Nothobranchius furzeri: one gene and its partners. The protein of the gene in region 7 interacts with the protein of the main gene of each other region in a pairwise test. Links are inferred from orthologs where the notes say so. Each region holds a gene or a part of one and is shown on either strand. Other genes may lie near its edges. The genes, in order: mfap1, protein FAM110A, scnm1, bysl, leng1, cwf19l2 and trim54.

The links.
Region 1: the proteins of trim54 (region 7) and mfap1 interact in binary tests that used the Homo sapiens proteins (3 or more experiments, as listed by UniProt). The two-hybrid records come from large-scale screens. The link is inferred for Nothobranchius furzeri from reciprocal best matches to the Homo sapiens genes TRIM54 and MFAP1.
Region 2: the proteins of trim54 (region 7) and protein FAM110A interact in binary tests that used the Homo sapiens proteins (3 or more experiments, as listed by UniProt). The two-hybrid records come from large-scale screens. The link is inferred for Nothobranchius furzeri from reciprocal best matches to the Homo sapiens genes TRIM54 and FAM110A.
Region 3: the proteins of trim54 (region 7) and scnm1 interact in binary tests that used the Homo sapiens proteins (3 or more experiments, as listed by UniProt). The two-hybrid records come from large-scale screens. The link is inferred for Nothobranchius furzeri from reciprocal best matches to the Homo sapiens genes TRIM54 and SCNM1.
Region 4: the proteins of trim54 (region 7) and bysl interact in binary tests that used the Homo sapiens proteins (3 or more experiments, as listed by UniProt). The two-hybrid records come from large-scale screens. The link is inferred for Nothobranchius furzeri from reciprocal best matches to the Homo sapiens genes TRIM54 and BYSL.
Region 5: the proteins of trim54 (region 7) and leng1 interact in binary tests that used the Homo sapiens proteins (3 or more experiments, as listed by UniProt). The two-hybrid records come from large-scale screens. The link is inferred for Nothobranchius furzeri from reciprocal best matches to the Homo sapiens genes TRIM54 and LENG1.
Region 6: the proteins of trim54 (region 7) and cwf19l2 interact in binary tests that used the Homo sapiens proteins (3 or more experiments, as listed by UniProt). The two-hybrid records come from large-scale screens. The link is inferred for Nothobranchius furzeri from reciprocal best matches to the Homo sapiens genes TRIM54 and CWF19L2.

The regions. Positions count from the first base shown.
Region 1 is NC_091749.1:30,004,238-30,008,276, reverse strand, and holds the start of mfap1 (microfibrillar-associated protein 1), read right to left. Parts: upstream 2,801-4,039; 5' UTR 2,686-2,800; coding exon 2,604-2,685; intron 1,983-2,603; coding exon 1,766-1,982; intron 1,687-1,765; coding exon 1,536-1,686; intron 1,444-1,535; coding exon 1,256-1,443; intron 1,176-1,255; coding exon 906-1,175; intron 817-905; coding exon 657-816; intron 360-656; coding exon 270-359; intron 1-269. Other genes in the region: hddc3 (guanosine-3',5'-bis(diphosphate) 3'-pyrophosphohydrolase MESH1), read right to left, coding at 3,540-3,694. UniProt on the Homo sapiens protein: Involved in pre-mRNA splicing as a component of the spliceosome.
Region 2 is NC_091755.1:41,859,566-41,863,518, forward strand, and holds protein FAM110A, read right to left. Parts: upstream 2,801-3,953; 5' UTR 2,665-2,800; intron 1,936-2,664; 5' UTR 1,827-1,935; coding exon 558-1,826; 3' UTR 355-557; downstream 1-354.
Region 3 is NC_091745.1:65,775,966-65,780,066, reverse strand, and holds the start of scnm1 (sodium channel modifier 1), read right to left. Parts: upstream 2,801-4,101; 5' UTR 2,693-2,800; coding exon 2,642-2,692; intron 2,511-2,641; coding exon 2,440-2,510; intron 2,358-2,439; coding exon 2,269-2,357; intron 1-2,268. Other genes in the region: lysmd1 (lysM and putative peptidoglycan-binding domain-containing protein 1), read left to right, coding at 3,360-3,539. UniProt on the Homo sapiens protein: As a component of the minor spliceosome, involved in the splicing of U12-type introns in pre-mRNAs. Plays a role in the regulation of primary cilia length and Hedgehog signaling.
Region 4 is NC_091743.1:46,638,541-46,642,573, forward strand, and holds the end of bysl (bystin), read right to left. Parts: intron 1,331-4,033; coding exon 1,228-1,330; intron 1,145-1,227; coding exon 790-1,144; 3' UTR 501-789; downstream 1-500. UniProt on the Homo sapiens protein: Required for processing of 20S pre-rRNA precursor and biogenesis of 40S ribosomal subunits. May be required for trophinin-dependent regulation of cell adhesion during implantation of human embryos.
Region 5 is NC_091745.1:76,666,511-76,670,746, forward strand, and holds the start of leng1 (leukocyte receptor cluster member 1), read right to left. Parts: upstream 2,801-4,236; 5' UTR 2,650-2,800; intron 2,459-2,649; 5' UTR 2,414-2,458; coding exon 2,282-2,413; intron 1,338-2,281; coding exon 1,155-1,337; intron 242-1,154; coding exon 1-241. Other genes in the region: voltage-gated chloride channel TMC4, read right to left, coding at 3,360-3,452, 3,546-3,624, 3,707-3,862, 3,985-4,115, 4,208-4,236.
Region 6 is NC_091753.1:35,505,606-35,509,796, forward strand, and holds the start of cwf19l2 (CWF19-like protein 2), read right to left. Parts: upstream 2,801-4,191; 5' UTR 2,745-2,800; coding exon 2,652-2,744; intron 1,783-2,651; coding exon 1,672-1,782; intron 1-1,671.
Region 7 is NC_091742.1:14,248,914-14,253,087, forward strand, and holds the start of trim54 (tripartite motif-containing protein 54), read left to right. Parts: upstream 1-1,374; 5' UTR 1,375-2,263; coding exon 2,264-2,581; intron 2,582-4,107; coding exon 4,108-4,174. UniProt on the Homo sapiens protein: May bind and stabilize microtubules during myotubes formation.

The DNA of each region.
Region 1 (4,039 bases), on a different chromosome or scaffold from region 7:
ATGACATATCGGCATCAATATCTATGTTTTACATATCGGTATCGGTCTGATAAGGACAACTGGACCGATATTAACTGAATATATATAAAAAGAAAGACGTCCAAAATTTCTGCTTACATAACTTTAAGTCTCCATAAAATCTGCTGACTTCAGAAGCATAAATGTCAGCCTGTATATGTCGCATCGACAAATATCGATTATCAGCCATAACAATATCGACATCAGCCCAAAGTTTCATTTCGTTGCACCCCAAGACGAAAGGGTCTCACCTGCATGACTTTGGGTAGGATGGTTTTGTTGAAGTGATCCTCCAGTGTAGGAGCGCTGAAGTCTCTCTTGTAAACATCCTCCTCCTCATCCTAACACACAAAAACCACACAATAAATCCCTACACGTATAACCTGTTGGTGACCCATCACAAACGATCACCTCCTTCAGAATCTGGTGGGATTTCCTGTCATTTACAGACATCTAAATAATAAAGGTGTTATAAGAAAGGGTACGCCGTTTTTATCACACAATAATTGTCAAAGAAAAGACACTGCAGCTGTAAATGAAGATTTTAGGAAAATCTCTTGGTTGTCTTAAAAATTTGCTTTTTTATGAATCCTGGTGACAATCCCGTGAAAAGGACTCTTGTGTCTGCTGGGACTCACCATGAAGAAGGCTCCTCTGTGGTAGTATTTCTGCAAGAACTTGTATTTGCCTTTGGAGGCTTTGTTGGTGACGACTTTGCCGCTGTTGCGTAGCTCCGCCCTGCGTTCCTCTTCCGTCATATTGTGGAATCTGTCAATTTCACCCTTCTCTCTCTCCATTCTGACAACAAAACACCACAAATGACCGTCCTGAAGAGAACTGCATCACTCTTTCACCATAAATCCTTTGGAATCCTGCAGTTTACTTACGCTTCCCGGGCCTCTCGGTCTCTCTTGATGCGTTTCAGCTCTCGGACCTTCCAGGCTTCATATTCCTCCTCTTCATTCTCCCCGTCAGTGTCCAGAGCTTCCAGTGCAGCCAGCGAGCGCCGGTTCTCTTCAAACTCCTTCTTAGCCTCCTCCTCAACAATCTTGAGGGTGTAGCGCCGCCGATCCTCTGCCTGCCTCTTGGCCTCGGCCTCCAGCTCTCGCTGCTTCAGCTCCTCGGCTTCGCGCTCTGCCACAGTGACTCTGTCCTTTCTGCAGTGCAAAAAAAAAACATTTGAGCTAGTGTTCTGAATCTGGAATTTTTATTGAAACATTTTTAGTTTAGTTCTCACTTGCGAATAAAAACAGGCTTAAGTCTCGGCTCTGCTTCATCCTCACTGTCTGTGTACTCCTCATATTCTGACTCCGACTCAGACTCCTCTCCTGACTTCCCCTCCTCCTCCACCTCCATCACTTCCATCTCTTCATTTTTCCTCTCCATTGCACGCTGGCGCATCATTGCTCGCCTCCTCTCAATTTCCTGGTCACAAGCACGATGAGCAAATTAATAATTTGTTCAAAATGCAACAAAAAAGTTAAAAGGATTTTATTTTTTTGGTGCACAATTGCTACCTCATCATCCACTTCTTCCTCCTCTTCCTCCTCCTCCTCCTCTTCATCGTCGCTGCTCTCCTGATGCTCAGGGTGCCATGTGCCTTCATCAGAGTCCTCACTGCTCTCAGCAACAACTTCAGGCTCTACGATCTGTCTGTGTCTTGCGAGCCTGAGCACAAACAAACGGGAAACATTTTGACTCAAAATGTTGACAGAATTTGAGTTTAATCAGAAAAACTGAGTGATACCTCTCCTCCACGTCCTCAGAAGTTCGATTGAGCAAACGTTTGAGACGTGGGTCATTCACATCTTCTTCCTGCTGCTCTACCTCCAGCTCCATTTCCACTCCCTTTTTAGCAAACTTGAATTCCTCCTCCTCTTCATCTGACGACTCCATGGGGGCATAGTCTGGACGTTTACCTGACACATACCTCTTCACCTTCACCTTCTCCATGGAGATCTCACCTACATTGTGTACAGAAAAGGGCATGATTATATACACTTCCTCAAGCTTAGTACAAGAGTATTTAAACAGGAAAAAACACTCAACCATAAAAAACGTAAAACAATATGTTGCAGATTTATTTAAATTAAATCAGACAGATACAGCATACCCCTCGCCCTTGGGAGTAATAAAATGACCCCAAAACTCAGACGTAAGCTTAAAACAACGAGTTAATGTCTCAGACAAGCTCTTATTAGGTAGACAGATAAATGACGTTACAAAAGCCCATGAATACTTTTAAGGGACTTAACAGATGACTTATCTAACACGTAAAAAAGTTGAAAAGCTATTTAAAATATATTTTTTCCAGTTGTTTATAAACATTTGTGTTGGATCATCAAAGATCTTGAATCTTGTTTAAAAAAATGTAAACTGTCAGTTGTTCCTCCATTTCTAGATTTTAAACTGTTACTCCCACCACACACACACATTTTACTCTCTTAAAAAACCAACATCACAAAATTGCTTTTCAGCTTGTTTTGCTGAGTAATGAATTAGTTATTTAGAAACTTAACTCGCGTTTTTTGACGCTACATAACAGATGCTACATTAGCATGGAAGCTAACCCTAACACGATTCACCTTTCTCATTCCGGATGGGCACGGCTCCTGCCGTGGACTGGATCGGTGGGAGCTTCATGTTGACGCTTTCGTGACTAGACATGACTGCCCGGTCAACAACACAAAACTATGGACGTGAAATAAAAGGATGTTGCGCTTAGTCTCAACAATCTCTTGGCTGCTTCGTTTCAAAACCGGAAGTTGAACAACTTCCGCGAACGGACAGGAAGTGCATTTGTTCCGAAGAGAAAAACCAAAAACTCAAGAATCAAATGAACAGGAAAGCGTCTCACATTAAATTGTTTTTACAAAACTGACATTTATGCATTTTTATAAACGTGTTTTCTAAATGACCATCAAGCTAATTAAAATCGATTAAATTGTAAATTGTAAATCACCGCCCCTTGGTGGTTTTTATGTTTCATGCATGATAGGCCTTCAAGTCAAGCTTTTTTTCATTATGATCAGAAACCCGATTTCACCCTAACAAATATAACCAACATCAAACATTCCGTTTTTTTTTTACAAAAATGACAGGCAGCTTAACAAACTACATTTCTTCTGCTCCAGGCAAGTTCAATTTACTAGCACAATAAATAAGTGCACGCCCTGACCCTTAACAGAGTAATAGGATGGACTGAGGTTGGCTTGTAACTTTGGCATCATGGTTTATTTAAAAACAAAAGGCTAATCTGACTGACTTTCTAATAAGCAACTCTTCACTTATCTAAAAAAAAAACTTTGTGTCTGTGTGAAAATTATTTGAAAGGTTTGATGACAATGAACCAGACTTATAAAAGAAATGTCATATGTTTTTATTCTTTTAATTTTCTGTTCTGGTTTGCATGACTTTAAAAATTTGACAATAATACAAATGACAGTGCAGCAGACAGTACATTCACACTTCTTTCTTTTTTTTCTGAAGCTCACTCATAAAGGTGCATTTGAGTTGTCATTTTAACAGTATAGACGTGTGGCTTTGCCATCAGAGTTGAATGCCTCTCTGAACAAGTCCTCCAGCTTCCCCTCCAGGGCAGAGTTAGTTCCTTTCAGGCCTTTCACCACCTCAGAGGCCCAAACAAAGTACTCCTGGACCCGCTCAGTGTTCCAGCCTGCCAGGCAAACAAAAGGTAGACAACATGATAAACACCATTATTTAGGGAGGCAATAATTAGAGAAGCAGCTACAATAAACAAGTCAGTGTAGGTAGTGATCAGAGCAGATCAGTTTACGTGATAACACAACACAGGGTCAGGTGACTGAAACAAAGCAACTGCAGTGGGCAGGTCTACGATTGGCATTCATGAGTCTGACCGTGGAGGGGAAGAAACTGTTCTTGTGGCTAGCGATTCTGGTCTGAATGGATCAGAGCCTCCTGCTAGGTGGGAGCGAGTATAATGGGCCATTCCCATCTGTATCGGGTCAGCCTGGGCCGGGTAGCGTAGGTTGTTTACATA
Region 2 (3,953 bases), on a different chromosome or scaffold from region 7:
TCAAGAGACGCCTAAAACTCGAAGTTCCCGTTCGTGTGGGTCTCAGGCAGTGGCGTGTCCAGATCTTTTAAAATGGGGTGGCCCAGGTGAGGCACAACTTTGTGCATGGGTGGCACCAATGGTTATGCTTTTTTTTGTTTTACCCCCAAGCCTTTTGTGGACAATGAAAAGCCTTTTTGAAGGTAAATTAGTGTGGTGGCACCTGGGGTGGCCAATTAGATTCCAAGGGTGGCATGTGCTACCCCAGGCCACCCCCTGGACACGCCCCTGGTCTCAGGTGTCCTAAAACACACCTGCTGATGCTGAGTGCGTTGTTTTATGTTTGAGGTGATGACTGAGGACCAAACAAAGAGCTTGAGTGAATTCTTTAATGTAATTTTTATCAACAGGACGATCCGCGCACGCTGAAACATGGTGGGCGGAAATCATCACCACAGCCAACGGTGATGACTCTTCACATTCAGCCTTTCACCGGTTTACTCAACAACCTGGGCAGCCACTTTTACTCTGAAAGAGGAAACGAGTTTCCCTTTCATAATAAAACTCAGACGGTCCATCTATAAATTAGTGTTCTTGGTTGTGTCGTCCTTGGCTTGCCCTAGCCCATAGAGCCACTTGATCACTCTGGCGTTCCTCTCAATCACAGAAATCCCATAGGGAACGCGGTCTGCAGCTTTCCCGGCATCTTCCTCCTCCTCCTCTTCCTCTTTGACCCCTCTGTTCGAGCCTCCACACTCCGATCCCGGAGCGCTGACGCTGTGAAAGCGAGCGAGGGACACGATGTCGGAGCTGGAAGCAGCCAGCTCACGCAGGTCCGACGGGTCCAGACCGCACAGGTTGAAGAAGCGCTCCAGCTCCGTCCCGGCCCGGGAGTACCGGTCACTCATGTCGGACTTGGACCGAGTCAATGACGGACGCTTTCTGGAGCTGGAGGATGACAAACGGGTGATGGCTGGAGAGGGGGGAGGAAGTGGGAAATCGGGGAGGGTGGGGGGCAGTGGTGCAGGAGCGTCAGCGGGAGGTGGGTTAGAGTGGTCGGGTTTTACTGGAGCAACAAGTGGTTTCAAGGGAGAAGAACCCGGAGCAGCTTTTGGCTGGGAGACGCGCTGGTGCGACGACGCTGAGCGCAGCAGTACGTGGGAAATCAGAGGTCTGGGTTGGAGGGGCTGCCGTATGAACTGGGGGGGTCTGGAGGCCGTCCTCACAGGGCCAAACTGAGGCATGACGTCCACTCTGCGTACGGTTCCTGCAGCCGGAGCCCCAGGAGAACCTGGACTCTCTGTCCCGGCAGCTGCAGGTACCTTTTGTCTGACTTTAGCTGGACTGGAGCAGTCGGGACGCAGAAGGGGACGTGGAGGGGGGCGTGGCTTGTCCGTCATCGGCTGAGCTTTGAACAGGGAACCGTGTGCAGTCACAGCACCACCAGGAGCCTTACAGTCCTCTGACTGGGACGCTGAGTTAGGCGTTGGCCCAACTGGGAGATCACTGATGAGGTGACTAAGGTGCTCCAGGTCAAGCTGGACGCCCTCTGGTTTCGTACCAGTCTGGAGGTTGGGCTTTCTGGTGGGGCGCAGGGGTGTGTTGGGGTTCAGCAGAGGCCTTTTCACCTCAGGAGGCCCGACTGGCTGCGTTCTGGAAAGAGCCACCTGACTCTTGACGTATTTGGCCTTGTCGGCCTCCAGTCTTTCTACGGCACTCTGCTTTGGTGCTCCTGCTGCGATTCTCCTGCAGAAATCTGGTCCCTTGGGTCGTAGACGCGGAGGGGAAACCCCGACGGCAGCCCTCACTGGCTGCCGTGGAGGCTGCTGCATCGTCTCCACAGGCATGGTGTCAGCTCCAGTTGTCCTTCAGCTACCTTAGATTATAAAACCTGGATTTAATCTCGGTCGTCATCCTCATGCCATCTCAGCAGCTCAGCCTGGACATCTGGGCTCCCTGTGGACAACAAACATCAGTCAGGGGAGCAGAAAGGACTGCTCACGGCACAAAAGACCCGAAACCCCAACGCCCACTTATTTACTCTCCCAGCCAATGGCTTCCCACGTACTCCCCCAGACTTCCAAGTCCATTGGCTGGCGGCGCAAGTCGGATTAGAACAATTCCTCAGTCATCCATCTTTTGGCACACAATGAGACTGACACTTGGTCTGCAGCTAGGAGGGACCGTGAGGAGGGTGATGGGGTGAATCAGAGGACCAGCTGTCAGACACACACACACACACACACACACACACACACACACACACACACACACGCCTCATTTGGGATCCATGAAAACAAAAACAAACTGGAGAGGCTGAAACTTCCGGGAGGCCTCCCGAGCCGTCTGCCAGGAAAATTCTGCACATAGCTCCCATTCCTGTCTGAGCCGGGCCCGGGCTCCTGCGGACCGAGCCGTGGGACGTCACCTCACCTGCCTTCAGGTCTGCAGGCCTCCAGAACAAAAGCAACAACCAGTGTGTTCCTGGGAGGGTTGGAGGCAGGGGGGAACCTCAGGAGGCGGCCCTGACCACCAGGAGCGGGCTCCTGGAGTTTCTGACTAACACGGAAACGCTGACAGGTAAACAACAGGTAGCTAACTCAAGGCGCGTGCGGAACCTTCTAAATAACCGTTTAAACTTATCTCCTGCTCCTACTTCTACTCTTCGCCCTACCGGGCTCTCACCTGAGTGGTTGGAGGAGCTCCTGAGGAGTTTGTGAGGACAAAAGCGAGACTGTCTGAAACCTCTAAACAGCTCAAGCCGAGAAGACAAACCTGTCTGACAACTCGCGTGCTGCTCGAAGCTCCGCCCCTTTGGATGATTGGACCAATCAGGTTCCTTCAAGGAAGCAAGCCGAAGCTCTCTGGCCACGTGACGCTCTCTTTGTTTTTGCCCTATCAGCAAGCTGAATGATTGGGATCCTTCCCAAAGGTCACGCTTCCGGTCTCGTTCTGTAATCTGATTACTAATGCGTATTTCTTTTCTTTGACCCTTTTTTGTCTTGTCTCAGGAAGCCCGAATAGACAACATTCAGTCTCGTTTCTGAAGAGGGTGAGACACACCAGTCCAAACGAATTAGGGTCAAAGGTCAGGTGTTCTCCTTCAGGGTGAATGTTAGTTTTACCTCAGACGGAACAGAACAGGGCTGCCAACTTTTGAACATTTCAAACAGTGAGACGGGGTCATGGGGTTGGGAGCGGACAAGTCGCTGGCCATTTGGGGGGGGGGGGGGGTATTATTTCTACTCTGTATGGAAGAGGATTAGAGCCACTGACAAGAAAGAAAAAAGAAAAGAAAGAGAATTCTTACATTTTTCTCAGATTCTGACTTTTAATCTCAGAATTCTGACAGGGAATTCAGGGAAAAAAGTCCAAATTCTCTTTCTTTTCTTTTCAGTGGCCCTAATCCTCCATACCTCTGACTTTAGAGGGAACTGACCTTTGTTTAATACAAATTTTCTTTTCGTGAGGACAATTCAACATCCAACTCTCCTGAACTTCTTCATATTATCTATCATCTATCCATCCATCTATCTATCCATCCATCTATCTATCTATCTATCATCTATCCATCCATCTATCCATCCATCCATCCATCCATCCATCTATCTATCTATCTATCTATCATCTATCTATCTGTCTATCCATCCATCTATCTATCTATCTATCTGTCTATCCATCCATCTATCTATCTATCTATCATCTATCCATCCATCTATCTATCTATCTATATCTGCAGTAGAGTTACAGCTACATGTCACAAATGGAACTTTTAATTATAATTAATGTAAATGTTTTAATTGTAATTCCGGGGGGGGGGGGGGGGGGGGATATCATGTCATTCATAATATTACCAGTTATTATTTCCTTCCAAGAAAAAACATCTATCATGTTAAGCTAACTTCATGTTGTATTTGCATCCACTAAACAGGATTATGTTCATGTGTTCATCAGCGTGAAATTATTGAAGTTAT
Region 3 (4,101 bases), on a different chromosome or scaffold from region 7:
GCCGTTACGCTTTTGGCCTGAGGGGGCAATCGCGAGCATAAAAATTCAAAACTCCATAAAGTCCCTTTAAAGAGCCTTTGAATCGCTCGCCTCCTTAAAAAAAAGCCCTCCTCCCCTTTTCATCTAATGATCGCAGTTAACAGGAAATTCTCCAGAATACTGCAGAAAGGTAAGTCTACTGTGAGCATGCGTGTGCACTTGTTAATGACTAATTTTTCGACAGAGAAACTCCGACAGCGCACGCAGAGGGGGTTGAGGGGAGTGCTGTCTATCACTGCCTCTGAGTCGCTCTCTTGGTCCACCAGGTGACACCTCTTTCAGAAGTGTTTTCCTAACAGGAAGTGTGAATGAAATAAGTCCCCACCCATGCCATGACTCCCACTGTAACTATAGTACAGTGGTGTAGCGATGTTAATATCGATAATCAAAACAAGCTATTAACCCCTTTTTAGTATGCATTTTGATATTTAAAATGCATCACAAGTTGCATATGATTAATTTACAGCTGTTAATTCTTTGTTGCTCAGGTTTTTAAACACTTTTTGGTATACAAGTAATTATGGATTGTTTTTGTTTTGTCTTTTCTAATACTGAAGATAATTAGGGCCACTGAAGAAAAAAAATTTAAAAAAAGAATTCTGACTTTAACTCACTAACTGCCAGCCGTTCTCCAGTGGCGTGTCCAAGCTCTTTAAAATGGGGTGGCCCAGGTGGGGCACTTGTTTATGCACGAGTGGCCCCTATGGTTATTGTATTGTAACCCTAAGCCTTTTGTGGAGAATGTAAAGTCAATTTATATGGAACTCGGTGGGGTGGCACCTGGGATTTCAAGGGTGGCATTTGCTACCCCAGGGCACTCCCTGGACACACTCCTGCCATTCTCTGATCAGAAAAGCCCTTCGCAGCCAGCGTTTTTCAGTGTTTCTACTGTTTCTTTAAGAGTCAATGAACGTTGTGCTCTAGGATGATGTCAACGCCAAAACTAACAAAACGAAGAGTAGACTCACCTCTTACATCAGGCAGAATCAGGGTTCATTTCAAGATTCTGGTTCTGGTCTATAGGGCCTTACATGGACAAGCACCATCTTACATTGGTGATCTTCTTAGTCCCTACACCCCCAGCAGGTCCCTGAGGTCCAGTGATCAAAGCCTACTGGTTGTGCAACGCACCAGTCTAAAGACCAAAGGTGACAGATCATTTGCTGCTGTGGCCCCCAGATTCTGGAACTCTCTCTCTCCTTGAGCCTGAGATCAGTGGACTCCTTTAAAAAGCAGCTGAAAACTCACTTGTTCAAGCTGGCTTTTGTATGGCCTTCTTCAACCCCTCTCTCTTTATTCTGCTCTCCCCACCTATTCCACCTTCCTCAGGATCCACTGATTTCCCTCTTTCCTATTCACTCTCTCTTTCTTAAAATTGTTTTCTTTTAAATCCCAATTGTCTATTTTTGCTCATTTGAAATAAATTTTTAAACATTTTCTAAATGCTTTTTTATATTTTTTACATTTTTTTGTTTTTGTGAAGCGCCTCGTGATTTTTATCTTGAGAGGCGCCATAGAAATGATATTTTCTTCTTCTTCTTCAGAATCTACATGTTTCGAGTGTTATCCATTCTTACATAATCTGTAGTCGAACTGTGATCGGCAGAAGCTTTTCCGGTTTGCGCCTCACTTATTTTTTTACAGCTGTGGCCCAAAACGATCTCCTAACACATGGATTTTCTGCTTCCTGATCACGTGGCGTGTGACGTACACGAATGAAGATCAGCTTATAGCTGGAATGTTTGTTCTCACGGTGCGGGGGCTCGTTCCGACGCCCACATAGTAAAAAAAATGCAAATGACGACTTTAGTCGTCAATGGCAGTTAATGAGTTAATCTCTGATTTCTGGCATTTTTCTCAGAATTCTGACTTTTTTCTTGATTGTGACTTTAATAATTCTGAGATTAAAGCCAGATTTCTGAGGGGAAAAATCTGATGTCTTTCTTTTCATATGTTTTATTTTCAGTGGCCTTAATCCTCTTCCATACTTTAACTCAGGGTGAAGTTCTTGGATTTTGAGTAAAAACCACGTGCTGTTGTTTTAATGATTTGTAATAAACAAATTGATCAGACTGTATGTTCTATTGTCTTCCCACAATATCATCAGATACTTTCAAGTGTTTCTTTGATGTCAGACAATGTAAGAAAATCATAACACCTGACTTAGAAAAGTTCTTCCAAACCTCATCCCTTACCCACAGGGAATGACACATTTAAGCTCACTTTTACCTTCTAGATGCTTCTTCCCTTGCCTGTGGACGGTCAGCACATCAACCGTATCAAACACGGGACGGTAGGAGCACACCAGACAAGTATATCTAAAAAACCACACACGTTTTCAGTTATTAATGTAACAACATGTCTGTTTCTTTTCCGAACGTGAGTCAAGCCGAAATTCACCTTCCATTTTTCAGCAGCGCAGCTTCGTCTTCAGGAATAAAATGAGACAGCAGATCGGCCACACGCCTTTTCTGAAAAATGTCAACAAAGTTGAAATAGTGAGTGCTCCCAGGACAGGAAGCTAACAGGATGCTAACATGATGCTAACTACACAAACGTATAATATTTAATGAAACAGACAACGTATAAAACAATATTTAACCTTAAGAATGTTGAGTTGACTCTTGTCATTCCCCTCTCTTTTAAAAGACATTGCTATGACATATACTCTTAAACTGAAGTTGGAACCAGATTAGCTGCTTTTTGTCAATGCTAGGCTAGCCCTGCTGATGCGTTCACAGAAGAATCGACGCATGGGAAATTCTAACCTCCAAATTTAGAACGGAGTTCAGCTTTGAACTAAAGTGTGCACAAACATTTCTGAATCATATCCATTATTTGTCGCTCATAATTATCATTAAAAAAGACTGCTCAAGTGCAGAAACAGTTTAAACGTTAGGTACTCCTAAAACGAATTCGAACAACTTTAAAGTGATTTCTGTTATTCGTATTGTATTAAACGCACCGTTTGTTAAGAATCATGTGACCAGCCCAGGCAGCCATGGCAACCAGCGTAGCTGCTACTGCTGCTGCTGACTTCACGAGATACGAGAAAATGCTAACAAGTTCACGATAACTTTTCAGGTGTGTAAAATAGGTTTATCATATAGTTTAACGGGGTTTTTACATCAGAGGCCCTGTGTGTGCTGCAGGTGCTGTATTGCTAAGCTTAAAATAGCAGGTTTAAAAAGGAAAGAAGCTTGAATAGTTGGGTCGTGTGCTAGTTCTTACATACATGTTTCTCTGGTAAAAGCTAAAGTTTACAGCTCTCTGTATTCTGCCGCACCTTGGACGGGTTTAAACACAAATGATACACCAAAATGTCCGGGGAGCGAGAGCCATCGCCTCCCGGGAGAGGGGGCCTCCTTCGCGGAAGCCGAACCAGATCTTACGGCAGTTTGATCCGACCTTCACAGTCTCCGGTTCGCCGCAGAGTCGTGGAACATGTCGTCCAACCGGGAGAGACTTTGCAGGGCCTGGCCCTTAAATACGGAGTGTCTGTAAGTACAAACTATTTACATTTTAAACAACCTATTTTAGTTAGGCTTACATTTTTGAGTCTCTCTCTCTCTCTCTATCTCTCTCTTTCTATATATATATATATATATATATATATATATATATATATATATATATATATATATATATATATATATATATATATGTGTGTGTGTGTATATATATATATGTGTGTGTGTGTATGTTTATGTTTATTCATTTCGCAGACACTTTTATCCAAAGCGACGTACAAGTTTTTTTTTAATAACCTGTAGGGCATGTTGTGATGTGTGGGGGAAACCGGAGTACCCGGAGGAAACCCACGCATGCATGGGGAGAACACGCAACTCCACGCAGAAAGGCGAGTTTTGAACCTGCGACCTTCATGCTGCGAGGCAACAGTGCTAACCACTGCGCCACCATGCATATATATATAAAGGTCCTGGGTTTGCTTCTCGGCCTGGGATCTTTCTGCATGGAGTTTGCATGTTCTCCCTGTGCATGCGTGGGTTCTCTCCGGGTACTCCGGCTTCCTCCCACAGTCCAAAAACTTGAGTGTTAGGT
Region 4 (4,033 bases), on a different chromosome or scaffold from region 7:
AACACGTTCCCATCTGTAGTTTTGAAAATTTATAATTTGGCAAATATGTTGATTTAAGTTGTATTTATGTTCATTTTTATCATATAACATTTTCTCCAATAACTTTTTCACATTTTCAAAGAAAATTAGATATAATAATCGAATTATAATCAAAAAGGCTGAATCATAACTTCAGTAATAATTTGTTCCCACTGACGCCCATCTGCCATCTTTAACTGGAATTTTTACAACCAGCTCTGTAATGACACATTTTGTTTGTGCAACTTTCATTTCTAACTCTGCAAATTTTAGCACGTACCCTTTGCTCCAGAAAAAACATCTAGAAAATCATTTTTGCTCCATGTTCATACCTAGAAATGTGCCTCTCAATTCCGCATTTAATCTTTGCTATAGTGCTCCTAATAAATTAAATACTGAGTTACCTTTCTCAGAGAGGCCTTTTCACATACTCCATGTTTCTGGTTAGCGAATGTTAACTATAAATTAAAATCAACAACCAATTTATGAGGTATAATTTGGTTTTTATTCTGACAGGTTTCAGAATTACGACTTTAATCCGAAAGGAGTTTGTGTTCCCAGGCTCAGAGACTTGTGTTACCGTTGTGAAACTGCAGCTACATCACCACTGGTGAGAGTCTCACTTGTGAAAACAAGTCAAGGCAGAACACAGAAAACATCTCTGAGGTCCATAAACAAGTTTAAATTCCTCCTTGTATATGAACAACAGCAAAGTCTGTTTTGTAAAGAGGGAACATGAATGTGGAGAATGGTGCACCACATCAGACTGAATCAGTCCATTTCAACCATTATAGGGAGCCCGATTTCAGTGTCTCTCGACTCAGAGTTTTGTAGCTCCCTGCGAATTTCTGCAGAAATCTGCGGGTGTGTTTGTATCTTGAGCAGCTCCATCAGCGCTGCCTTCTGCTCTGAGGCCAGGTCAGCCTTGTAGCGCTGGGCCAGGGTGAGCAGACTCTGATGCCACAGCACAGGAAGAACACGTTTTTCGTTGCGGAAAGACAGGAAGTGGGCCACCAAGGCATCTAGAACACGGAAAGGCAGGGCGTACTTTTTGTCAAGCAGCAGACGCAGGAAAATGCTGTTGGCACCGTTGTACTCCATCTCTGCCAACTTAAGCATTGCAGCGCTGAAAGAAAGGACAGATCACACAAGTTATGTAACAGCAGACTTGATTTAACACATGTGTGTTTTTGTGTGAGGAGGTCCAACCTGGAGTGCAGCACAGGAATGGAGCATTTTGTGAGAATGCTCCCGATGATGATGGCTTCCCTCAAGGTGCATGTCCCAGACTCACATAAAGGAATCAGGATACCTATGTTATAAGGAATCAGGTATTAAACGCACGCTTCAGTGATGTTTAGAGCAGCATATATCATATTATCACAATGGTACATGACTTGTTTACAAACCAAACAATGTAAATGAGTCTTTGTGAGTCACAGGAAATGGGAAAATCCCTGAAAAATGTCAACCAACGGAACTCGGTTTGTTTTAAATTTGCAGTTGCACAACCATAAGTAGCGCAGATCAGGTAGCAGCTAAAGTGTCGCCAATTATACGTGACACTCATCAACAACAGTGGAGGCCGTAATCAGAGCTGTTTGTAGAGCGTAATGCAATGGATACGTCAGAGATGAAACAATATCTGTGTTTTTAAAACATGATCCTGAAACACTTTAAAGGAGGAGGAGTGATGGGAGGCTGCCACACCTGCTACAGGTTACAACGCAAAACAGAGCCTCAGGGAAAAACATCAGTGGAGACAAGGAAGGAGAATAAGCTCACTTTTAGCTTATATATATTTTATACATCATTAAAATTATGTGTTAATTATCCTACCTGTTCATTTAAATGTGTTTTTTTTAGAATTTACTCTTATTTCTACATTCCATTAGACTGCTTAGTGCTCCATGTCAAACTCTGATGTAGGGACAGGCCGCTATATTGGGCTGATATATACCACTTTTATAGAGCCAATTTAAAAACGGGCACATCTGTGGGCAGCCCGGCGATGCTGCCAAATTTTATTCAAATGTATACTTACAAGGGATGCACCAATATGACATTTTAGGGCCGATACCGATATTAATATCCCTAATATGGCAAATACTGATACTGATTGTGAAATTATGCAAGCTGAATTTTTGAATGTTTTTTTCTATAAAGTGCAAACTAGATATTATATATATATATATATATATATATATATATATGTGTGTGTGTGTGTGTGTGTGTGTGTGTGTGTGTGTGTTTACAATATTATATACACACCACACACATTTACGCTTCTGAGATGATTACCATCACTGTCACATGAATAAACAATTACAGATAATCACCCCTCCTCCCTCTGAAACAGATGCACAAATGGAATCATGTTGGAAAAATAATCGGTTGTTGATATTGGCCCAGTTTTATTCGTTGGACCAATGTGATATGTTAACAGATGACTAACATCGGCCATACCGATACTGACGCAGACATATCATGCATCCCTAATTTTACGTTCCTGACTAACAAGTGCTTGATAAATGCTCAGTTATATGTAATACTTGGTCAGTTTATTGATGTGTGACTCTGGTTTAATGTTTCATCCTAATACTGATCAGTGTACAAGATTAAGATTCAACAAATGGTTAAAATCAGAGTTCAAAAACAGTTAATGATCTATATTTGTATAGCTCCTTATTAGGGTTCGACAACCCCCCACGGCGCTTCACAACACAGTCAGTCATCCCCCCATTCACACGCTGGTGATGATGAGCTAATTGGAGCCACAGCTGCCCTGGGGACCTGTCCCCATGACCACCACCAGCAGAAACTGATTCAGGTTCAGAAATGTTGAGCATCAACAGATGTTATTAGTGACAATTTAGGATGCAGATATGTTAGAAAACGTCTAGACATCGGCCATGAAAATCAACCCAAAAAACAGGAGCACATATCAGCCATAACTGACCGTGACCTCTACATATGAGCATCAGTATCGGCAATAGAAAAACCATATCGGTTTATCTCTATAGTCTGATGTTTACAGCTTCATTAGTTTAGATGAACACACAGAAATCACATTGTGAAAGTTTCATTAAATTTGCTTTGATATGACCAAGATTGATTTACTGAAGCTTAAAGAGATCTTTACCATTTTGATTTCAATGTCAAAGTGATCTACAGGTCAGAGGATTTCAGATAAAACTCTTACAGGTATTTTAATAAACAACAAACCTTCTGCTGGAGCTTGAGTTTGAAACAATACATTAATTATGGCTCAAGCTTCATTAAAGGTGTTTAACATACACGCATGTCTAGTTATCCTTTAAGATCTGTGTCAAATGTTTCAGTCAGTAGGATGGAAGCTGTAGTGGGTGAGAACTGGAGTTAGTTTATCATCTACCACCATTTATTAGTCTGAACTGTGGATGGAAAAACACCCATCACTAGTTCCCAGTATGATGGATCTTAGAGCAACACTGCCACCTAGTGTTTAAGGCTCAAACTGAAGTTATTTTGAATTCAGGTCATGGATTGTTAAAGTTAAAAGTTAAAGTCCCATTAGATGTCACACACACAGGTGTGTGTGCGAAATTTGTTCTCCGCATTTGACCCATCCCCTGGGGGAGCTGCAGACACAGCTGCACTCTGGAACTATTTGGTGGTTTAACCCCCCAATCCAACCCCTTAATGCTGAGTGTCAAGCAGGGAGGCATTGGGTCCCATTTTTTCAAAGTCTTTGGTATGACCCGACCAGGAATCGAACCCCTGATCTCCCAGTCTCAGGGCGGACACTCTACCACTAGGCCACTGAGAAAGGGTAGAATAAAAGGGTAGAGAACAGGAGAATGTTCCCTTCAAACTGCAGGGATTTGTGTTTTCAAACAAATGAAATCAAAAGAATGTTTTTAAACATCTGATTCCACATATAAAGCTTAATTTGACCTATTAATTAACACTTTTATCCAGCCAGAAAAATGGTGTCACTCCTTCAACAGACAGCAGCTAATCCTCCATTAGCATC
Region 5 (4,236 bases), on a different chromosome or scaffold from region 7:
TCCTGTTTTTAGGTACTTTTCGTTCAAACACGTCTAGAGCTTTCTTCATTTCGTTCAGGGGATCCAAACTACTCTTCAGCCTCCGATCCTTCTTCTCTTTCTCCTCTTCACTTATTCCCTTCTTTTTGTCTTTCTCTTGACTTTCTTTGTCTTTGCTGCTCTTCAGGTACCACGGAGTCACCTCAGAGCCTGGCTGGGGTCCTAAAGACACCAGTAGGCCGATGGCGCGTTCCTGCTTCTCCTGGATGAGAAGATGCAGATTATATTTAAACAAAGGGGTTTTTGAAAACAGGGTATCTGCAGGTTTAAGGGAGACAAATTTAAGACTTTTTAAGACCTTTTTTAAGGCCACTTTGACCAAATTTAAGCTATTTAAGCAAGGCAGCGGTAGCTCAACAGGTTGAGCGGGTTGTCCAGTAATCGGAAGGTTGCAGGTTCGATCCTGGCTCCGGACAGAGAATTCTGCTGTTGTGTCCTTGGGCAAGACTCTTAACCCACCTTGCCTGCTGGTGGTGGTCGGAGGGACCGGTGGCGCCTGTGCTCGGCAGCCTCGCCTCTACATCGTAGCTCATCACCACCAGTGTGTGAATGTGTGTGTGAATGGATCAATGATACACTGTGGTGTAAAGCGCTTTGGAGTCCTTCCTCTGACAGGCGCTATACAAGTGCGGGTCATTTATCATTTAAGCTATAATTTCCAGCTATTGCCTGGAACCGGTGCTAACCACGCCGCGATCATGGGATTAGCCATCCAGTTACCATTAAACTTGCCCTTCCCCATGGCGCAAGCTCCCACTAGCTTAACCAGCTAACGTGCTCATCTAAAAATAGCCCCCTTTCACAACCAACTGAACGTGTACGGTTCCGCTTACGGCAACATCGTACACAAAAATGCTGAACGCTAACTAGAAATTCATGAAAATTTTATAGAAATAAAAGAATCTTGTTTATTGGGTCTTTGGTAATTTAAGACCTCTGGAAACTGTATTTAAGGATTATTTGTCATTTTTAAGGATTTTTAAGGCCTTAAATTTGGAAAAGCTAATTTAAGACTTTTTAAGGACCCGCGGATACCCTGGAAAAGGTGTTACTGAAGCAAATATAAAACCCCAAAAAATAAATAATCCACACATGTATTAAGGTTTTTCTGTCACCTTTTCCTCTTTCTTTTCTTTAAGATACTCCTCGTTCCCCTTCTTCTCTGAAGACTCCTCCAAAGGGAAGAGGTTGAGGTGCTCCAAGCCTCCTCCACCTTCCTTTTCATCATCATCATCTCTGCTTCCTCCTTCTGACTGAAGAGCAGCTCGAGATTTCCTTCTCAGATACTCTGTACGCGCCTGTAGAAACAAAAAGCTGTTAGAATAAACTAAAGATATAAATAATAAATAGTTATTTTGGATTGTAAGCAAATGCAGCTGAAGACATAGGACCTAACTGAGCTTTTGCAACAAGCTGAAAGCAACTAAATCCTAAATAGCACTGTGTAAAGCAGATTATTTGCTAAATTATACAACTTTGAATTATGTGTATCGTCTGGGACATTTGACAGTGGTACTATTGTTGTGGCTCTTTATTGTAATAAAGTTACTCATGATAAAGTGCTCTTGCCTCATATGTGCACGCAGCGGTTTAGATAGAATCAACGAGGAGAGAGAACGTGACGAAGCTCAGAATGTTTTCAGTTTTTCTTATTACTGAAATCATTGCTGCGGTTTTAATCTACATGTGGCATTCAGATTGTTTAACATCTATAACCTTAACATTTCTACACTTTTCCAAACTCCAAACATCCACCTGACCTTCGTGTGACTGGTTCTTTTGTCTTTCTCCCCAAAAGACATTTATTTCTGTATTTATTTAGTTTTAAATGGTCAGGATTAAAATCTGTGAAACTCTTTTGTTTACTTTTGATCATTTTTCCAGAACTAATTTCTTAAATATTTCAATTAAAGTGCCAGGTACCCTGTACATTCGGCTGATTTGTGGTTTTTCTATGCGTTACAGTTGTGTTGCACTCAAATACATTTTCCACAGTAGTAATGATACTTATATCGCTTATTAAGAAGAAGAAGAAAATATAATTTCTATAGTGCCTCTAAAGATAAAAATCACGAGGCACTTCACAAAAACAAAAATGTAAAAAAATAAAAAAGCATTTAGAAAATGTTTAAAAATATATTTAAAATGAGCAAAAATAGACAATTGTGATTCAAAAAAAATGTTAAGAAAGAGAGAGAGTGAAGACTAATGAATGACCATGCTAACACCAGAGGGGGACTACCTCTTGCTCTGCTCGCTCCACGCGACGCTTGGCCTCGCGCTCCTCTTCTGCTGCCTGGGCTTCATCCCTCCGCACGCGCGCAATGTTGTCCTTGTTGCGGACGTGCCAACTCTTCTTCGGGAGGATGTTCATGGTTGCCTTGGTGACCGACAATTAGCAGTCAGCTAGCTTAGAAAGCTAACGACAAGAGAAAACACTCACTCTGGTCAGTTAATATATTGGTGTATAGTAGAAATAAGCAGGTTATTCGACAAAATGTCTAAATACAGAAGCAGAATTTTTCAAATACGCCCAACAATCAAATATGCGTCGCTGTTTTCTTTCTTTTTAGGAAATTAAGCTAAATAGGGAAGGTCGCTAGTACTTGCCAATGTTTTGTGATGACGCAGAAGAAAATAACGTGGACCTTACTCACTCACATTATCTATTTAAGTTGACTACTTTCCTAAAATATAATAAATGCTATCAATGACGAGCTAACGGAGGAGTAGCTTCTGGTTTGTTGCGCTCACAGGAAGTAGTAGAGTTAAACAGGAAGTAAACAATAATCGTGTTATGTAATTACAATATGTAACACCAGGGGGCGCTGAAACTCTACTGGTATTTGTACAGGTGCCACAAAAATATTTACCGGTATGTCCCAAATATATATATTTTTTGCTATAACCAAAAGATGTCAAAAACAATGTACTCATTATGAAAGGACAAAAAGGTAAAGTATATGTTGGCTTTGGAATGTAGCATTTTGTGAAATGCATGCTCTTTCTTGTTAGCATTTTTGGTGATTCTGCACCCGAGGTTGTTTTATACAAAAGAAAAATAGCCTCTCAAAATCATAAATAAATTCTGTGCATGTTTATTAATTCAACACTAATGTTTAGAACAACAATCAAAATTATACTGACTTTAAATAACAAATTCTCTTATTGTTTCAGCTTCACAACAGAAACGCTGTAAATGAATATAGTAATTGTCAAATGAGATCTAGTCTGGATTAATGAGATTTCTCCCCCCCAGAAGACATATTAGTTACTTCATTATTTAGGTCAGAAAAACTAAACGTGGTCATCGGTTGTGTTCAGTCTTGTACTTCTGCTCTTAGTGCTGGCATCAGATGTTGCAGCTTTAGTCTTTCAATCTGTTTGACCAAAAACTGCTTATCTTGACCCTCCTGAAAATCAAAGACATGACATTGGACAATATTAGCTACCACTGAGGATATTATACAAATGATCCTTGATCTTTGTAAGTAGGAACAACATACCAACTTAAGCTGAGCTTTGAGCATCTCAACACTTTTTCCATAGATGGAAGCTAATGCTACAAAATAGCACATAATCACGCTGGCAGAGAGGAAAAAAGGCACTGTGATAATCTGTAGATTAAATCTAATAAATAATAAATATTTCACAAATGCACACTCACCATGATAAAGCAAAAAGAGGTATGGAAAATGCCTGTGAGCCAATGAAGAAGAGAAAATCCTGTGTAACTTTAGAGAGACAGTAGAAAGAGTTTGGAACAATCTTCCACATGGAGGGGAAGAAGCGGAAAGGCCCACACGCCATCGAAGGGTTGATCCTGTTTGGAGAGGTGGAAAGAATCCTTCTTAAAGTGTTTAGTGATGCCCTGACTGTTCTGACTTTCTAAAACGCTGTTTTGTTGGAAATATTAAGGATAAATCTGCAGCAGTCAGCACTCACACAGCAAGGCTGTAAATCATAACAACCAGGGCCAACGTCCAGCCAAACAGAAGCACCACCAGGAAAAAGAAGGTGGAGGTGGTGGACCGAAACGTCTTCAGCGCTGGCCGACAGTTGTGGAAGAGTGTGATCTGTGGACACGCAAACACAATATCATCACTAATACAAATAATTATAATGTATGTGAGAGGGAAAAAAACAAGTTTTATGTTAAATTCTTCACCTTCTTGCAGTAAAAGAGGATGACAAATT
Region 6 (4,191 bases), on a different chromosome or scaffold from region 7:
TGGATTACTAACATTAACTTATTTTTATGTTGCTGACTGTGTTCAGTGCATTCCTAATTAGTTGTCATTTGCAATGATAGGGAAGTAACCATCTTTTGGAAACAAGAAGTTGTGTTTTTTCCATGCACAGCAATAGCGATGCTTTTCATTGTTGAATTAAAAGCAATGTGACATTTACCTCTGGGGGTGTTCCAAAAAGGGTACTTCACCGTTCGATTCGATTTAGATTATGGGAGCTTCGATGCTTCGATTATAATGATTTTTGGTTCGATTCGATTACTGGTGCCACGATTCTTCGATTATTGACATTTTTAATGCTTTTTTCATACAAGATTGTCTTCTTCTTTATCTACATTTGTAAATAATTAACCTATCAATTAATTCAGTTCCTCTAAAACTACTCTCTGTAAGTAAATACATTTTTTTAACATTTAACTATTTTTCAAAGACAAATTCTTATTTTATGACTGTATGACGTGTAAATATTTGCACTTTGACCAACTTAACTTCGATCAGGGAAAGCTTTACTTACACTAGTGTCCCCTCCATTGTTGGGAAACACTGAAAACAGGCAAGCCCTGGATTTAATGAGGTAATTAATTCAAGTAAACAAGATTTTTACTTCCATCAAATTTATTTAATGGAAACTTATGAGTCTGGCATATGATAACATTACAAAAAAAGCTGCCATACAGATCAAATAAATAAATTCAGCTTATTCAGTCTGGAATATAGGTAACAGAAAAAACCTGCTATATTTGAAGGTAATATGTTGTATTTTTTCAGAACAAAAGTGCATAATTCAACTGAACATATATTCAGCCTGGAGCTTCAGTACAGTGAGGCGAACACAACAAAATCACAACATGCCCTATAGGTTAAAAAAAATAAATTGTAAGTCGCTTTGGGTAAAAGCGTCTGCTAAGCACATAAACAACATAAACAACATAAACAACATAAAATAGAGCAGAGTGACACTCATACTCCCTCTCCTCCCTCTTGTTCCCCTACATCCTCCTGTTGTGTGAGATGGGCAAATGTCAACATTGTGCTACTTTGACTCTCACTCATCTCTCGAGTTTGAAGAACGTGACTCACCAACTTCCACCCGTTCTTGTCCGACGCAAGAACAAAATGCGCCGTTACAGTAACGAAGGATTTGGTGGCAACCGATGTCCACGCATCGCATGTGAGCGCTATCCCGGTTGCCTTCTTCATGGACTCCAGAACGCTTGCTTTGGTTTCCTTGTAGAGGTGGGGGGCTTCTTTTTCTGCAAAGTGTTTTTGGTGAGGAAGTTTGTAGCGCGGCTCCATGGTGCGCACCACTAACCGAAACCCCCTGTTGTTTACTGCTGAATACGGGTGTAGATCCGTCGCGATTACAGTAGCTATTGCTTTTGTAATGCTCCTCGCCTTCTCTGAGTTCTTCGGTAGTTTGGAGACAGTCTCCAAGATGGAGAAAGAGGTCAAAGAGTTAGTGCCACTCACTAAACAGTCCGGGCGGCGCGCGTTAAGGCTCCGGTTACGTTTTTTTTTTTAAGTACCGGCTTCGCAACAAAACTTTGATGTTATGTTTTTTTAAGCATTGACGTTCATTAATCGATGCCGAAACAACATGTTAAGCTTTTAGATGCATCGCCACATCGATTAATTGCACCCACCCCTACTTACCTCCTCTATCTGCTGCAGCCTCTGGTTGACTTCAGGGAGAATCCAAGTATCTTCTCCTCTCAGCCTCTTCAGCTCCTTCCTCCTCTCCTCCTTCTCATATTGCTGCTTTGCCTGTTGGCCCGCATAGAAATATGAACAGAAACAAAATATTACTATTACACATACATTTAGATTGCATCAGAGGACCAATTTACGTGTCCAATTTATGTCTCCCTTCTCATTTTCTCCTCCACATTCCCAGAGATGTAAAAATGTATTTCTGGAAGATCTGCTGGTCTGACATTAATGATAAAACATGTAAACCAAGAAAACAAAGATTCAGTTAAGCAGTTTCTATTTTGTTGACATCTACCTCCTCTACTCTAAAAGGTGAGGTGTAAAGGAGAAGATCGTTTGAAAAGACAAGTTGACAACACTGAGCTCCTAAACCACACTGAGCCATTTCCTCTTTAAAACTTAGCTTCATAAATCAGATCCAGCCACCATTATGACTTTGGTCAATTCAGACACAGGTGAGCTAAATAGATAGTGTGTGTGTGTGTGTGTGTGTGTGTGTGTGTGTGTGTGTGTGTGTGTGTGTGTGTGTGTGTGTGTGTGTGTGTGTGTAGCTGCTTAGCAGAAACAGATAACATGCAACTGTAAAATTGTGTACATAAGTGCTGACAACCTGCTCTAATCCAAACACTCACTGGGCATGGTAAATAACTGAGACAAATACAACACAAATTAAAGGCAGCTCTGCTATCTGTCCGAGTCAGTGTTTGACTCGTAATTTCCTGTCCGGATACATCTTCAAGGTAGTACACATCAGCAGAATGATATACAGATATGATGTACCCAAACGTTAAAATGCTAGCTGTTAGCCTTCTTAGCGTGTTAGCTTATACTCAGAAACTCGGGGTACGATTTAAACCGTAACTAACACAACGAAATAGCCTTTTGTTACACGTGAATCTTGCTTTTCCAAAGCAAACGCGTACCTTTTCTAGCACCTCTTCTCGCGACTGCCTCTTTTTCTCTTTCTTTTCGTCGATGCTGCTCGAACTCTCAAAACTAACACCATACGTCGCCATGACACCGTCGTGAATGTTTTGTCAACTGTCGTAAAGCAACGCAGTTTACGTCAACTGAGGACTTGTGGCTCATAGTGCAAAAGGACCAAGGACAGGCGCATCAATTTAAATAATATGAAAAAAAATATATATATTTTCTTATAGAACTTAAATAATATATTTACTTATAAAATATTATAAACACAACTAATATATCTATCTATCTATCTATCTATCTATCTCTCTCTCTCTCTCTCTCTCTCTCTCTCTCTCTCTATATATATATATATATATATATATATATATATATATATAATGTTCTAAAAAAATTTAACGGTCACCTCTGTTAAAAAAAAGTCTTGGAGTGAGATTTTCTTTATTTAGTGTGTGTGTGTGTGTGTGTGTGTGTGTGTGTGTGTATGTGTGTAAAGCTGCTTAGCAAAAAAAGATAACATGCAGCTGTAAAATTGTGTTCATAAGTGATTACAACCTGCTATAATCCACACTGGGCATTTGGCACATTGTGTTTAATACATTTTGCCTGTGTCTTTTCACTTTATTACACATAAATCAATTAATTGACTTAAATGTTTAGATGTCTTTGCATGAATTAAATACTTGAGGTGATGTTGACATGTGGTGGAAAGTTTGTGTCAATAGCCCACTTAGAAAAACCATTACTGATAAAAATGCTGATGTGTCAAATACTTATTCTCCTCTATTTGACTTTGATGTGATGTCTATGTGCTGAACTGAAACATTGGGACAGCAGTAGCTCAGGAGGTAGAGGGAGTTGTCCGGCAATCCGAAGACTGCAGGTTCGATCCCAGCTTCAACCAGAGAATGCTGCTGTTTTGTCCTTGGGCAAGACACTTAACCCACTTTTCCTGCTGGTGGTGGTCAGATGAACCAGCAGCACCAGTGTTCAGCAGGTCTTGCCTGTTAGTGTACCCCAGGGCAGCTGTGGCTACACTGTAGCTCATCACGATGTTGTAAAGCGCCTTAGGGGGTTGTAGAACCCTAAGAAGGTGCTATACAAATACAGGCCATGTACCACTGTGTAAAAATAAAAAAACTGAAGGTATGTGAATGCAATCAGATCTGTCACTAGGTACGAATCATACATTCTGGTTATTATATTTAGAATGCAATTACATATATTAAAGATGTTCCCCAAATCCACAGTCACATCAAGTAATGACTGCTAGGGAAATGCAAAATAAAGGCACAAGAAATTGTTTTGTCATATCCAAGATCAATTTTTTATTTCCGGTCCATATTTTAAGCAACTGATGCACCCCTAGATGTACTGAAACAGTAACAAGATGACCAAAGTGCCAATTCAGAAGCGTAACTATTGCTCTGATGGATTAAGAGATCTTCAAATTTATATCACTACAATTAGAGCTTCTTCAAACACAGCAACTCATTTAACTTAGTAATTATTTAATTGGCCAAGTCTGCATTT
Region 7 (4,174 bases):
CCAAATCACGACAAGAGTCGTCTCAAGGCACTTCACACAGTAAACATTCCAAAACTACAGCAATCCTCATACTAAGCAAGCATTTAGTGACAGTGGAGAGGAAAACTCCCTTTTAACAGGAAGAAACCTCCAGAGGATCCTGGGTCAGTATAAGCAGCCATCCACCATGACTCACTGGGGATGGAGAAGACAGAGCACACACACACACACACACACACACACACACACACACACACACACACACACACACACACACACACACACACACACACACACACACACACACACACAGAGCAGTGTGCTAGCCGATGGCCTCCTCCATGAAATTATTATATAAAATGGTTTGTCAGTGAAGATTGTTATTTAACTTATATTTTTTCTGCCTTCTGTTCTGTATTTGAAGCCATACTATGTAACTTTTTCATATTTTTAAATAATTTTCTTGAGTCAGTATGTGCTAAAATGATCCATTACAGGGTTAATGAAATGCCGCTCAGACCTTCAACTTCGGACTGCTGGGCACCTGTTGGACTTGGGGGGAAAAATTGCTGACATACCTGGTGCTTCAGTCTGCTTCCAGCACATTTCCTGCATGTTTTAGATTATGAACACACCTGATTTGTTGATGTAGTGATGACTCACAACCATGGACATAATTTTCACTTTAGAAGTGGGGGGACACGGGGGGGGGGGGTCTTCACAGTATGTTCTAATGGGAAACAGGCTTCAACACAATGGTTGTTTTCTGCTTGGTCCTAGAGCTCAACCAGTGTCAACTTAATATAGCGTAATATTGTCTTTGGATGGTAAAAAGTGCAGGGGTCAAAACTTGACTTTGGAAAAAGTTGGGGGGGGGGGGGGGGGGGGCATGCGTTAAAGAAATAATAGGCTTGCTTTTCAGCACCCCCTATAGTCTGAAGCGAAACCAATCTCGCTGTGCATTCTTCTTTTTAACACTTTAATCTAACAGCCAAAATGTCTCCCAGAGTTCCTAAGTGTCTAGAGGAGTGAGTCATCACTAAACGAAACAAATCAGCTGTGTTCATGATCGAAAACATGCTGGAACCAGACAGCAGCGCCCGGTAGGTCAGCTCAATTTTTTCTAAGTCCCAACAGACCGGAACACGATGGTCTGACCACAGGGGGTGATGGGGGCATTAACCCTGTAAAGGGTTATTTTAGCATTGGCTCAAGAAAATAATTTAAAAGTATGAAAAAGTTTTAAAGTGTCCATTTAAAAAGAGGAATGCACAGCAAGAAGATAGGTTTGATTATTGATTTGACCAAAGATAATTAATACGTACACTAGGGGGTGCTAAAGGTAAGCAAAACTGCCAAGTGTGCCTTTGTGTGCAGTACTGGAGCTCCACAGGGTACGGCGCTCTCACCCTTTCTGTTCACCTTTTACACCTCAGATTTCACCTACAACACCAGCAGCTGTCTGAGTTTGGGATAGATCCAGACTCTCCATCTCCTCTGATCATTTCTTTGTTTCTCTCAGAGAAACAAACTAATTTCTCCTCCTGATGACATCAAATTAAATAAAAACAAACTTTAAATTGATCCTGTCAGCTGTTTCAGTCGAGGGAAGCGTCTCGTGTTTCTGTTTCAGCATCTCGTCCTGCTTTATTTTCATCCTCCTGAGTGACGCCATCAAACATTCTAGAGCTAATTTTAGCGTCTCCTAAGAGGAAAACAAAAGATAAAAATGAATTTACTGAGTCAGAGTTGTTTTAGGATGTCTGTGGCTCTGATCAGCTGGACGTTCTCAGAACAAAGATGATTAGATATGATGCCGTGTAGCATTACATCTCATAGATAATCTTGTTAATCACTGCAGGAATCTAAATGAACTCTTCGTGTTGTCATGACAACCATTCACAGAGAACTCAAGATTTTCTTTGAAACATAAAAAAATAAAATTATGAACAAAATAAAACTTCTGAGTCAGTTCAGGAGAAGAACTCAGGATTTAAACAAAAAAAACAACAAGATTTTACTATTTTCTCCCAAATCTGAGCAAACAGGAAGTGAGTTGTGGGCTGGTTTAACTGGGACCAGTCAGGAATCAGCTGTGGGGTTTAAGGAATCATCTGAAGTGTTAACAACCAGGAACGTCTGTCATCGTGTCTCCAGGATCTTCTCTGAGGTGTCGGACTTCATGGAAACATCAACAGAGAGTTCTGATAGTGGTGACCCTCCTGCCACACCCGGAGCTCCCAGAAACCCGATCCAGAACAAACACTAGAGCTAAAAATATCTGATGGGAGGGTCCGTAAATCCGAGCCAGACGGGCTTTCAGAGGGGGAAGAATAGAGTCACATCTACAATAAAAACCAAACATCTCACAAACGCCAGCAGAATCTTTACCTGTTCGCCATCTGAGGCAATGAGCTTTGCTTCTGGGTTCAAACCTCCAACACCTGGAAGTTCTGAGCCCGGTACCCGTAGCAAAACCACGATGGAGAACCTGGAGAAACAGCTGATCTGCCCCGTGTGCTTGGAGATGTTCTCTAAACCTGTGGTGATCCTGCCCTGCCAGCATAACCTGTGTCGTGGGTGTGCCAACGACGTCCTGCAGGTGAGCATGAAGATCAACAGGTAGACTCATCAGAACCCCTGATCCAGTTCTGGTGATCCTGTGGGACTTACCCTCAGTTTCATGTTCTTAGCTGACACCTGGTGTGGTCGTCTGCTGCTGGAGTCCACCTGGAGCAGCTGGTGTGGTCCTAAAGGAACCACTGCTGTCTTTCAATCATCAAGAACCAGTCTGACCAGCCTCTGTAGACCCTAGATGGTTGTGGGTTCAAATCCTGGTAGATCAGACCATCATGCCTGGTACTAACAACATTCCACCGTAAATCTCTATTCTGATGCTCAGTTTGAACTTCAGCAGCAAACACCTTCTCTGATAGATGATTGATTTAAAGGAGACAAATTATGCAAAACTCACCTTCTGCATTTGTTTTGCGCCGTCGTGAGTCTACGGACTCCATAAACAGTCCAGGCAGGAAGACCCCATCCATCCATGTTCTGTCCGTCGTTGGTTTCAGGAATTACGTGCCTAAAATCAAGAAGTCCCAGATTGTGATTTCAAAAATGGGCAAATAAGCATAGAAATACCTTCACATGTCGACTCTGGAGGAGCGGCAGCTCTACTCTGAGCCCCTGTTGGATATTTGAGCTCCTCACCTCATAGGGACCAATCAGGAAATTGGTGGGTGTGGCCAGCAATGTTTTCTCAAAGTGACAGAGCCCTGAAATGGCTCATTTTGGAAAGTACTGAAAATGATAAAACTGCTGAAATTGCTTTATGTGAGAGAGATTTAGTGCAAAGAACTTCATAAACATCTTCGGTATTGACATAGAGCAACTACATTTAGCTAGAGTTGCTTTGTAATGTATATTTTGGCAATACTGTTGCCATGGTAACTCAAATTGTCATTAAAAGTGATTTACCACTTCTTCCAACCGAGCCAGTCAGTGTGATGCACAGTGTGTGCAGGTGCATGCTTGTATTTGAGCTCCGTCAAGTTCGAGGTGCTTTTTATTGTGGCTGTTTGTTAAAAGCGTTGCCATGGTAACACTAATTCCAAGCTACAGGCCCTAAAAAGGCTCATTTTAGCAGATTCAGACAAAAGGGTGCCTTTCTGCATATTAACACATCATTGTAGCTTTGTTGTTTTATTTATCACCATAAACAGCCATAAAATCATAAACATAAAAAAATAACTCTTATTTGTTGTGGTGAAAAAGTCAGATCACTATTTGAAAAACACTTTTTTTTAAATCACCTTGAAAGCGTTTGAATTAGTCCTCCAATGCTGATATGAGTGAAGGTTCCTTTAATTGTTTTCATTTTATGATTTAAAGATAAATTATTTGTTATAATAAACATATATACATATATATATTTATTATTACATCGACATATGTCGATGTAATAAACTTAGAAAGCGTATAAGATGTTCCTGAGAATCATCGTTTTAAAAATGACTCCAGCTGACTAACCTCAACCCATTAAACAGCCTCCTGTTTATCATTAAGATAAATGATAAAATGTCTTTTAACAAAAATCCAAGAAAACCAGTTTTTGTCTTCAACCAGGCCACCAACCCTCTGTGGCAGCCTCGAGGCTCCTCCAGCAGCGGACGCTTCCGCTGTCCATCATGCC